2 linked regions of the Macaca fascicularis genome follow. The protein of the gene in region 2 interacts with the protein of the main gene of each other region in a biochemical or structural test. Links are inferred from orthologs where the notes say so. Each region holds a gene or a part of one and is shown on either strand. Other genes may lie near its edges. The genes, in order: BDNF and NTRK2.

Region 1 (4,409 bases), on a different chromosome or scaffold from region 2:
CTTTGAGCCAGGATTTTAGAAATTTGCATTTTTTTTTTTAACAAGATTTTCCCCTCCTGGTGAGTCAAAATGAACAAGAAATATCCCAGGACCTCCCTTCCCTCCTTGGCCATTAATGAGATTAAGGCAATTAACTCGCATAGTATAAATGAATCATTTGAGGTGATGACTGCATTTTAGGCAAATGACGACTTTCTTGGTTCCATTGATTTACAAGTAAAAGTTACACACATTGAAAAGACACTCTGAAACAGATTTCCTAAATGCTTCATTTTCTGGATACACCAATGTTGACCTACTATACATCTTAAATGGCTTTAAAATATCACCTTAAAATACACGAAACTTCCAGCTACTAACTCAGCTCTGAATGGGCTATGAAAGGCTCCAAAGGTATGTGAAAAATTACTGTTATTTTGCTTTAAAAAATGTGATGTCTAAGTGTGTCTGCAATGTTCTAATGCTTCAAAACATGTACGTAAGCCTTGTTTATCTGGAAATCATTTCTTTCTGCTTATATCATTTATAAATAGAAAATGTTCTGTAATAACTTAAAATAGTTCCACATACATAATGCTTTTCGTGTCATAATACTTACTACTGGTCTATATTTACCAACATTTATCACATTTTACAAAATGAAGTAGAAGAAAAAAAAGACAACGACTTTATGGCGCTGGAATTCCAGTAATGGTGACCAACATGTTTTAAATTCCAGTAAAGGTTATGGTTACATTTCAACAAGTGTCTCTTTCCTTTCTCTTACCTCTCCTGCTCACCCAGAGGTAAATTTACCAAAAAACAAAAATAAAAAAATAAAAAGTCTCAAGCAAGGCATTTGCAAAAATCAGAAAACACGAACAGGGGTTTAGTGATGGTTTTTAAAAGGTGCTGTTCCCAGGGTCAAAACTTTGTGGTGTAATTTCAACATGCTATGTTACCTCTTATGTGTAATGTCTTGAATCGCTACATGTCATAACATCAGAAATCTCCAACCTAAAAATTATGTTGCATGAGGTAAGCATTGAAGGCACACACGTTCAGACAAATTAAATCTGTAATTATGGCTCAATAAATTAAAATGTAAAGACATATCAAATTGTAAGACCGAAATGGCTTTTGACCTTACAACAAACTCATATAAAAATAGATTTTTCGATAATAATAAAGGGGAGAGAGAGATTTTTCAGGATATTGAGCCAGTAGGGAGGGGTCTCATTTAATAGCATATCGCCTTTTATATGCAGTTAGAAAATCAACGTTCCCAATTGCATACTACTTTGCTTTAAAAGATAACTGTACTAGGAGGATTAATAAACACTCAGAAATATGATTTTCTTCGCTTCTGGCCAAGAACATTCCTGCGTGCTTGTTGGAAAACGTTCTTTGGTTGCTACTGACATTGAGGAGTAAGTGTAAGATACCTAGAGGGCCCTAAAATAAGATCCAAGAAGCCCTAACACACCACCAATCGAGGCTTATCAGAGCTCCTCCAGCGCGAGGAAAACTTGCATAGAAGCCAAACAAGAACAAGGAGTCAAAATCCACCGACGACGAGTCGCATGCCCTACCGAGCTGGAGTCAGCAGCACCATTCAACAAGTCCCTCCTACCAGCTCTCTAAGGGATCCCGCAAAACCTTCCCTTACCACTTCCCCACCCCCAGCCTCCCGCCCCCAGGAGCTGCTCTTGGCAGCATGGCCGGCAGAGGGCACCCTCTACCTTCCCTAGCTTCCTTCTCCGGGTCCCCTCCTCCTCCTTGCCTCCCCTCCACCTCGGTCCCTCATCCCTGCTCCACCCCCAACACAAAAACACTGCATCCTCCAGTTCACCCTCGCAGCCCCAAGGCTTCTTCCTTAGGGCTGCCCCTAGTCTGTAATCTCCCCTTCTTCTTGCCCGTCGGGCACAGAGCCCCCAATCCTCAGCTATTTCTTTCCAGGCGCAACTCACTCTCACCCATTCTTCCCGGCTCTGCATCCCCAGAGACTAACCCGAGTAAGGAATCCCCCACCTATATCCCACCTAGTCCCCGAAAGTCAAAACTCTAACTTCCTTGGAGGGCGCTTCAGAAGAGGGGCGCAGGCTGGGTAGCCCGCCCGGGAGTCTCGCAGACCCTTTCAGTTCCGAGCGGTAGTAATTCCGCCTCCCAAGTTTTCTAAGCTACATTGGCTTCGGACTTGTAAATCCACTTCAGTCTCAACTCCTGGGAAGCAGGTAGCCGTGTGCAGTCCCGGGGACCACGCGGACTCAAGGCGCAAGCTTCCCTCCCACTCCCCCCACAGGTCGGCGCGGGGACCACCCAACCCCTGGAAGGATTCCTAGCCTAGCCTCAGCACCCTTCCCTCAGTCAGGGCCCCCGACAGCTCTGGCCCCCTAAGTCTCTCTCGACTCCTCCTGGGGTGGGGGAGGACTGCGAGGGATCCCCGGGTCGCCGTCTTGGCTCCCATCACGCAGCTCTGGGTCTCCTCCAGGCCTTCTGTCCTCTACTTCGTGCCTTCCCCGGGTCCCTTTTTCCCTGGTAGTGCCGGGTGACCTTCTGGGTTGTGGGATGGGGGAGAAAACTCCCCAGGAGCAACTCCAAATCCTCCCTTCTACCGGCGGGGAGGAAAGAAGGAGACTGGCCTCGTCCCACAACTTTGGGGGGTCCCCCAGTCAACTTTCTCCTGCGGACCGGCAGCTCCCGTACCAAGCCCCATGCCCGGCGCTTGCCTACCTCGGGGTCCACACAAAGCTCACGGGTCCCCGGCGGCGGAGTCACATCGTGGTTCCGATTCTGGCTCCAGCGCCCAGCCCGGGTCCTCGTCGCGGTGCTGCTCCCCGCCGGCCCCACAGCAGCGGTGGCAGCTGCATTCAAGTGTCTCATTAAAGCCCCCCGAGCAGGAGATGGGAGGCGCACCGGGCCGGTTCCTCCGTCCGGCCCGGGAGCCCGAGGCGCTACGGGGTGCGCGGGACAGCGAGCCGGCGGGTGCGCCCGGGCGCGGCGGCGGCAGCGGCTGGGACCCGGAGCTCCAGGCTGCGCCTTGCGCCCGGGTCAGACATTATTTAGCTCTTCGGTTGAGCTTCGATTGGTCAAACGGCGCCACCCCCCCGCCCCCCTCCCCCCGCTCGCCCGCGCTACCGATACCCGTTCGGGGCGGCTGCTTAAAGGGAACGCCGCGCCTTTTTCTCGCCCGGGGGACCGAGGGGCGCCTGGGACTCCCCGCTCCCCCAGGGCCTGTCCTCACGTCCTCCCCCAGGTCCCCGCGACATCATCCTGCGAGTCCTGCGCCCTCCCGGGGCGCCTTGGGCAGGACGCCCGCAGCTTCGAGGGGTGTTCCAGCCCCAGCCCCAGCCCCGGGGAACCCCGCGTCCCGCGCCCTCTGCAGAAACCCCGGCTGTGCGCGCTGGGGCGTGAGGGAGCGAGTGAGGATCGCACGCCCTGAGGTCTTGCTCCCCTAGCTTTCAACTCTCCCCTTCCTCCCCATCCCAGCACCTAAGTTCTCTGGGAATGGGCGTGCTTTTCCCGGGCCACAGACACACCTTCCCGCACCTTCCCGCACTACGGAGCTTGCGAACGCGAGCACACAATGAAATCGCACAGAGCATGGGGGCTATTGGTTTACTCCGCTGCCTTAAACACGCCGGCTTAAACAGAGTTCGCGCACTGACCTCTCTAGAGTTTGCCTAATAGGAATTCAATCAAGATAACAACAGCATTTTTTATTGATGAACGCCCCCAGATAACGTTACACCAAGTTACTTGTTCCAGCCAGGAAGCCCAGGCAATGACAGACCTCGCTAAAGCCACACGCTTTCTAGCAGACCAAACAGAAAAACGGAAAGAGAAAGAAAGAAAACAAACCCACCTTTTCAGACACTACTTGTCAAAGTAACCATCAAGGCAGCTGCTCTGGGAAAGACTTCGGCCCCAAAACTCCCAGACTCTATTATTTTTTCACGTTCTCTTTGCTTAAAGGGGGGAGGGGGCGCGAGTCTTTAGTGCCCGGTATGTACTCCTTCTGTTCTGCAGCAAAGAAGTTAAATTATTGATAGTGGAAATTGCATGGCGGAGGTAATACTCGCACCCCATCAGCTAGAAGCTCCATTTGATCTCGGCAGAGGCAGGAAGATTTCATGCTAGCTCGCCGGGGGGAGCGGCAGCGAGAGCAGCCCTCTCCGCGGTGAATGGGAAAGTGGGTGGGAGTCCACGAGAGGGCTCCACGGTGCCTTGACGTGCGCTGTCATATGATACCTCCGCTGCCTCGAAATAGACACTCTAGTGCACGAATTACCAGAATCAAAATTCAGCGCATTTAAAATGATACATCTTTTATTAGAAGAGTTCCGTTCCAGGGCATTGCATGCTTTTGCAGATGTTTTCACTTCCAGCCCCAGCAAACACACATATAAGCTAACCCTTTTAATAACGAA
Region 2 (4,496 bases):
AACACTCAGAACTTCTCCTCTTACAGATCATTTTCAAGGCCATCTCTGGATGCCATCTCCTAAGCAAAATCTGATATATAAAATGAAAAGGGAAAGTGGTTAACTCAAACCTCAAAAAAGATGTTAAGGGAGAGACTGTCACTTCCTTCAACAGATTCGGGAAAGTTAATTATTTTAACCTCTTTTCTAGTGAATATTAATGGAACTTCTAACACAACATACACACAGCACTTTATGAAACAAAAATGCCCAAAACTAAGTTAGTGCATGCGGAAAGCCTAAAGCACACCCAGCAGAGCTTTGAAATATAAAAAGCATAGTGAGTTCCTTCCCACGAGGAATACATATATAATCGGCATATGTATATCTATATTTAAAACTTATCCTAAAGTGTCACACTTCTCCTGCACTGGCAGTCCCAAGCCAGTGAAACAGACAGGTAACTGACAGATGGCCCTGTCTTGCATCTCTTGTCTCTGACTTCTCCCCACTCTTGAGACAGCATTCACTTTCAGGACCTACCCATCTGGCCAGCCCGGGCCCTAGGGGCAAGGCGAAAAAAGAGGAAAAGCTCCAGGAACTCACATTTCGGTGATGTTCTCAGGATCTACACTGTTAGGTTCCAACCTTGGAAATGCCACGATGCCAGGAGAAGGGTCGCTGCACCAGATCCGAGAGGCACTGCATTTGCAGGACGTGGGACAAGCGAGAGCGGCCCTCCAGAAACCCACAACCAGCCAGCAGAAGCCCCAAAGCCGCGCCATGGCGGGTCCATGCCACCTTATCCAGGACGACATCCCTAGCAGCCAGTGCCAGCCCGAGTGAGTGTCCCCACGCTGCACCGGCCGGTTTCCCCGACCTGTGCGGGGAGGCCTTCCCCGCGCTTGCGGCTCTCTTGACTCCTCGGTGCTTGCTTGCTGCGGGCGCGCGGAGTCCAGCGTATCACAGGCTGAGCTGGTCCGGAGCGGAGCGTATTCCGGCAGGCGGCAGGGTTCACAGTGGCCCCGGCATCGTGAACCGCTTTACAGGGGGGTGCTACCGCCGCTCGGAGCTCCGCCGCGGCCGTTGCTGCATGGCCCGGGGCGCCGGGCACCGACCGGCGGCGCTCCCGGGACTCTCTGGGGTGCAGGCTCCTTATTAGACGCGAATGGGGGTCCGGTATGCACCTCGAGGCTGAGGACAAACAGATACGCGTAAGACTGAGTGTAGGACCCCCAACACCACTAATTGGAGCACTCTCCCTCTGCGCTCGCATCATCCCCACCCCGATCCCAGCCGGGAGACTGTGGATGGATGAGTGCCCAGCTCCAGCCCAGGAATCAACTTGCCCCGCGATGGCACTGACGCCGCTGGAGCCACCAGTGTGCCCACTCTCTCTTCGAGCCTGAGGCCAAGGGAGGGGAGGTAGGGAAAGGGTCCCCGAGACAGGATTCCATGGTACAGGCCGGGCGAAGGACCCTTTAAAGGGGAATGCGGAGACTGCCGGCAGCTTTGGCTCCGCGACGGGGGCCCCGAATGATGCTGCAGAATCCGCCACAGCCGCTGGGTGCCGGTGGCGCGGGCAGGTGGCGCGGCACGTCCCACCTGGGGAGTAGCCGAGGCCGCCCCAGGGGGAGACAGGGAGGGCCGAGGCGACCGAGGGCACTGTCTGCGCTGCTCACCCGGGCTCCGGCGCCTCACGCCCGCCGGCGGCGCCTGGGTCCAGGATCCTGCTGCCGCCGGGGACTGAGCGCGTAGAGCGCGAGCGAAGCAACCAGCGAGGCTCCTGCTCCAACCCAATTCCGGGAGCCGCCGCCGCCGCCTCTGCTACTGCTGGCGAAGTGACGTGAGGGCTGACGCAGAGCAGGGGCAGAAACTCCAGAAAATTAGTCTGAAATCCAAAAACACACACGCGCTCATACACACACAAACCCATAACACCCTCCAGACAAAAGCACCAGGGAGGGGAGGGGAATCTGGGGGCGAGCAGGGAGGAGGGAGGCATCAGTGCCACTGGCCAGAAGCAGACAGCAGCAGCATGTGGGAGTGCACACACGCGCGCACACACGCACGCACACACGCACACATCCTGGCCGTGTAGACACGCGCGCGCGTGCCTCTGTGTGTGTGTGTGTGTGTGAATTTACATCCAGGTACCTCTGAGATGAACCGTTCCTCCGTTTGACGCCTCCCGGTCCCTAATTCACACCACAGTCTCTTCTACAATCGCGGTAGAGGCTGGCTCGCTTTTTGAAATGGAAACCGTGCTTGGTTCAGCTCTGAAAAATGCGCTGATTCTTATTATAGGAATCCTCCCTCCCTTCTCCCTCCCCGCGTTCTCCTTTCCCACCCTGCCTAAAAGGGAGGGCAAGCTATCCTAAAAATAAATAAATGTTGTAAACACCAAAACGTGTTCTGCATTGGTAACCAAGGATCACCGCCCCCATTCCGGGCCACCTATTTGGGGATCGGTGGTTTTGGAGGGGCTTCCTGTTGGTGCTTTTGCAGAGGGAAGGGAGTCTCCAAACACAATTCTAGCTCTCTAAGTGGGTCTTTTTCCTGCCGTTTTCTGCCATCACACGCCCGGGAAATAGAGACATGTGAGGGGAAGGGAGCGCGCCTGATGCGTATTCTAAATGCTCGGTGGCCACCCTGGCCTGTCCGATGTGTGGCGCCGCGTCATTTTCTCTCATCCTTTAACCTGTCGGGATGTAGCCATTCCCATATCGTAGCTTCACTCCCCGCGATGCCCACCCCATGCAGGGCATCCCAAGCCCTTGCTCCCCTGCCGTACCTTGCGCGTGTTCATGTGTGCGCGGGTGTGCGCGAACGCGTGCCCTGCGCCCGCGCTGCCCGGAGCACGATATGCATCCAGCTACGAAGAAGCCAGGCGCGGGCAGAGCCTCGGGGTCTCACTAGGGACAAATTAGGCGATCCGGGAGGGTCGGGTGACAAACCGTAATTGTTCTGCGGGCGCAGTTAAATGACGGCTGCGGGGCATTCGCAAGCCTTGTCTGAGAATCCGTCTTCCCTTTTGCGGCTCGGAATCTGTTTTTCCGCAGTCATTTAAAAGCGAACTGGGAAAATGCACCGCAGTGCCTGACACTTCCGAGGGCTCTGGTGCCCCCGCGCGGGGAGAGAGCGCCCGGCACGCTCCGGAGCACCAGCCCACCGCCACGGTCGCGGCGGGCACAGCGCTGGGGGCGCGCTCTGGCGCCAGATGCGCAACCAGCGGCGCCCGACGCCTGCGCGTCCCTGCCCGGCCAGTGAGCGGCTTGCCTGGCCTCGCCGAGGTCCGGCCCGGGGAAAAAGGCGGCCAATCCTCCGCTCCAGAGAGAGCAATGGGTTGGAGTCTCGTTCAAAATATAGTAACAGTCACTGATCTACCCGCAGAGGCTGGGGATGGGAAGGATCGAGAAACCGAACCTTAGAGTGAATGCTCGGATCTAGGCCAAGCATTAAATATTACGAAGGGAACGTAAAACATCTAGTGGGGCTTTTTTGTACAGATCCTGGGCGCTGAGTGTTACCGCGGGAATTCTTGGACAGCACCCAAAAATCTTGCTGCAGGTCCCGAAGGCAAGGCTAGCAGGTCTGTCTCACCACTGTCGCTCGGCTGTAACACACTTTGAGTGGTGAACGGCCAGGCTGAAGTTTACTCCTCAGCAGGGCCTCTCTCGATTTTCTGCTAGGTGAGGACGTGCCAAGGAAGAGAAGCAAGGGCAAAAATGACCTGGTCTCAGACGCACGTAAAACTCCGCCTGTCTTGTCAGTGCCCCTTAAGTGGAGAAGCCCCTGAGGAACACTTGGGGAAGGAAGGAGTGTGTGTGTGCATAATCACCCACATCTCTCTCACACTCCCATACTCTCAGCCCATTTTCCTAAGAAAGGGCCCATTTGCGCCCTAGTGGCTGCAGCATGTCTCAATGCGGTATGGAGAATAGGCAGTTTTACGGTGGTTTGTACACCACAAGATTCCAATTATGTTGGAATATCTGTAGAATTTCTATTAGAGTAAATATATGCTACTATTATAGTTGAATTCTAAATATATTCCACTGACTGTCTCCCACTTAAAATTAGGATTTGCGGTCCTACTTCTAATCACCCTACTTCTGCTCTACTATTTCAACCATAGCAGTTTGTCTTTTGGACAGATCATTTACTTATCATATATATATTTTAAATTTCTCCCAGTAGAATGTACACTCCATGAAGGCAGGGATTTTTGTCTATTTTGTTCATTGATATATCTCAAGGACATAGTAGGTGTTAAAATATATGTGTATTTTTAATGAATAAATAAAATAAAGTTGAGATCTTACTTTCTTAACCTCTAATTCTGCAAGAACCTGGATTATTCCCCCAGACACGCTCCTTCTCACCTTCAAAATTTCAAATCTTCCTTGTGTTCCGAGTGCTCATAGCACTGCTTAAAACCTTGCCTTACTTTCTGCCTCATTTAGTAGCCAGATATGCTTCAGCACCAGGCCAGAGAGGGCCTCCCACTTACTCAT

The links.
Region 1: the proteins of NTRK2 (region 2) and BDNF form a complex in vitro, tested with the Homo sapiens proteins (3 studies listed by BioGRID). The link is inferred for Macaca fascicularis from reciprocal best matches to the Homo sapiens genes NTRK2 and BDNF.

What each region holds. Positions count from the first base shown.
Region 1 is NC_088388.1:37,889,703-37,894,111, reverse strand, and holds the start of BDNF (neurotrophic factor BDNF precursor form), read right to left. Parts: upstream 3,017-4,409; 5' UTR 2,863-3,016; coding exon 2,713-2,862; intron 1-2,712. UniProt on the Homo sapiens protein: Important signaling molecule that activates signaling cascades downstream of NTRK2. During development, promotes the survival and differentiation of selected neuronal populations of the peripheral and central nervous systems.
Region 2 is NC_088389.1:115,291,547-115,296,042, reverse strand, and holds the start of NTRK2 (BDNF/NT-3 growth factors receptor), read right to left. Parts: upstream 3,038-4,496; 5' UTR 2,774-3,037; intron 2,259-2,773; exon of another isoform or gene 2,226-2,258; 5' UTR 2,137-2,225; intron 1,784-2,136; exon of another isoform or gene 1,329-1,783; intron 1,174-1,328; 5' UTR 798-1,173; coding exon 586-797; intron 1-585. UniProt on the Homo sapiens protein: Receptor tyrosine kinase involved in the development and the maturation of the central and the peripheral nervous systems through regulation of neuron survival, proliferation, migration, differentiation, and synapse formation and plasticity.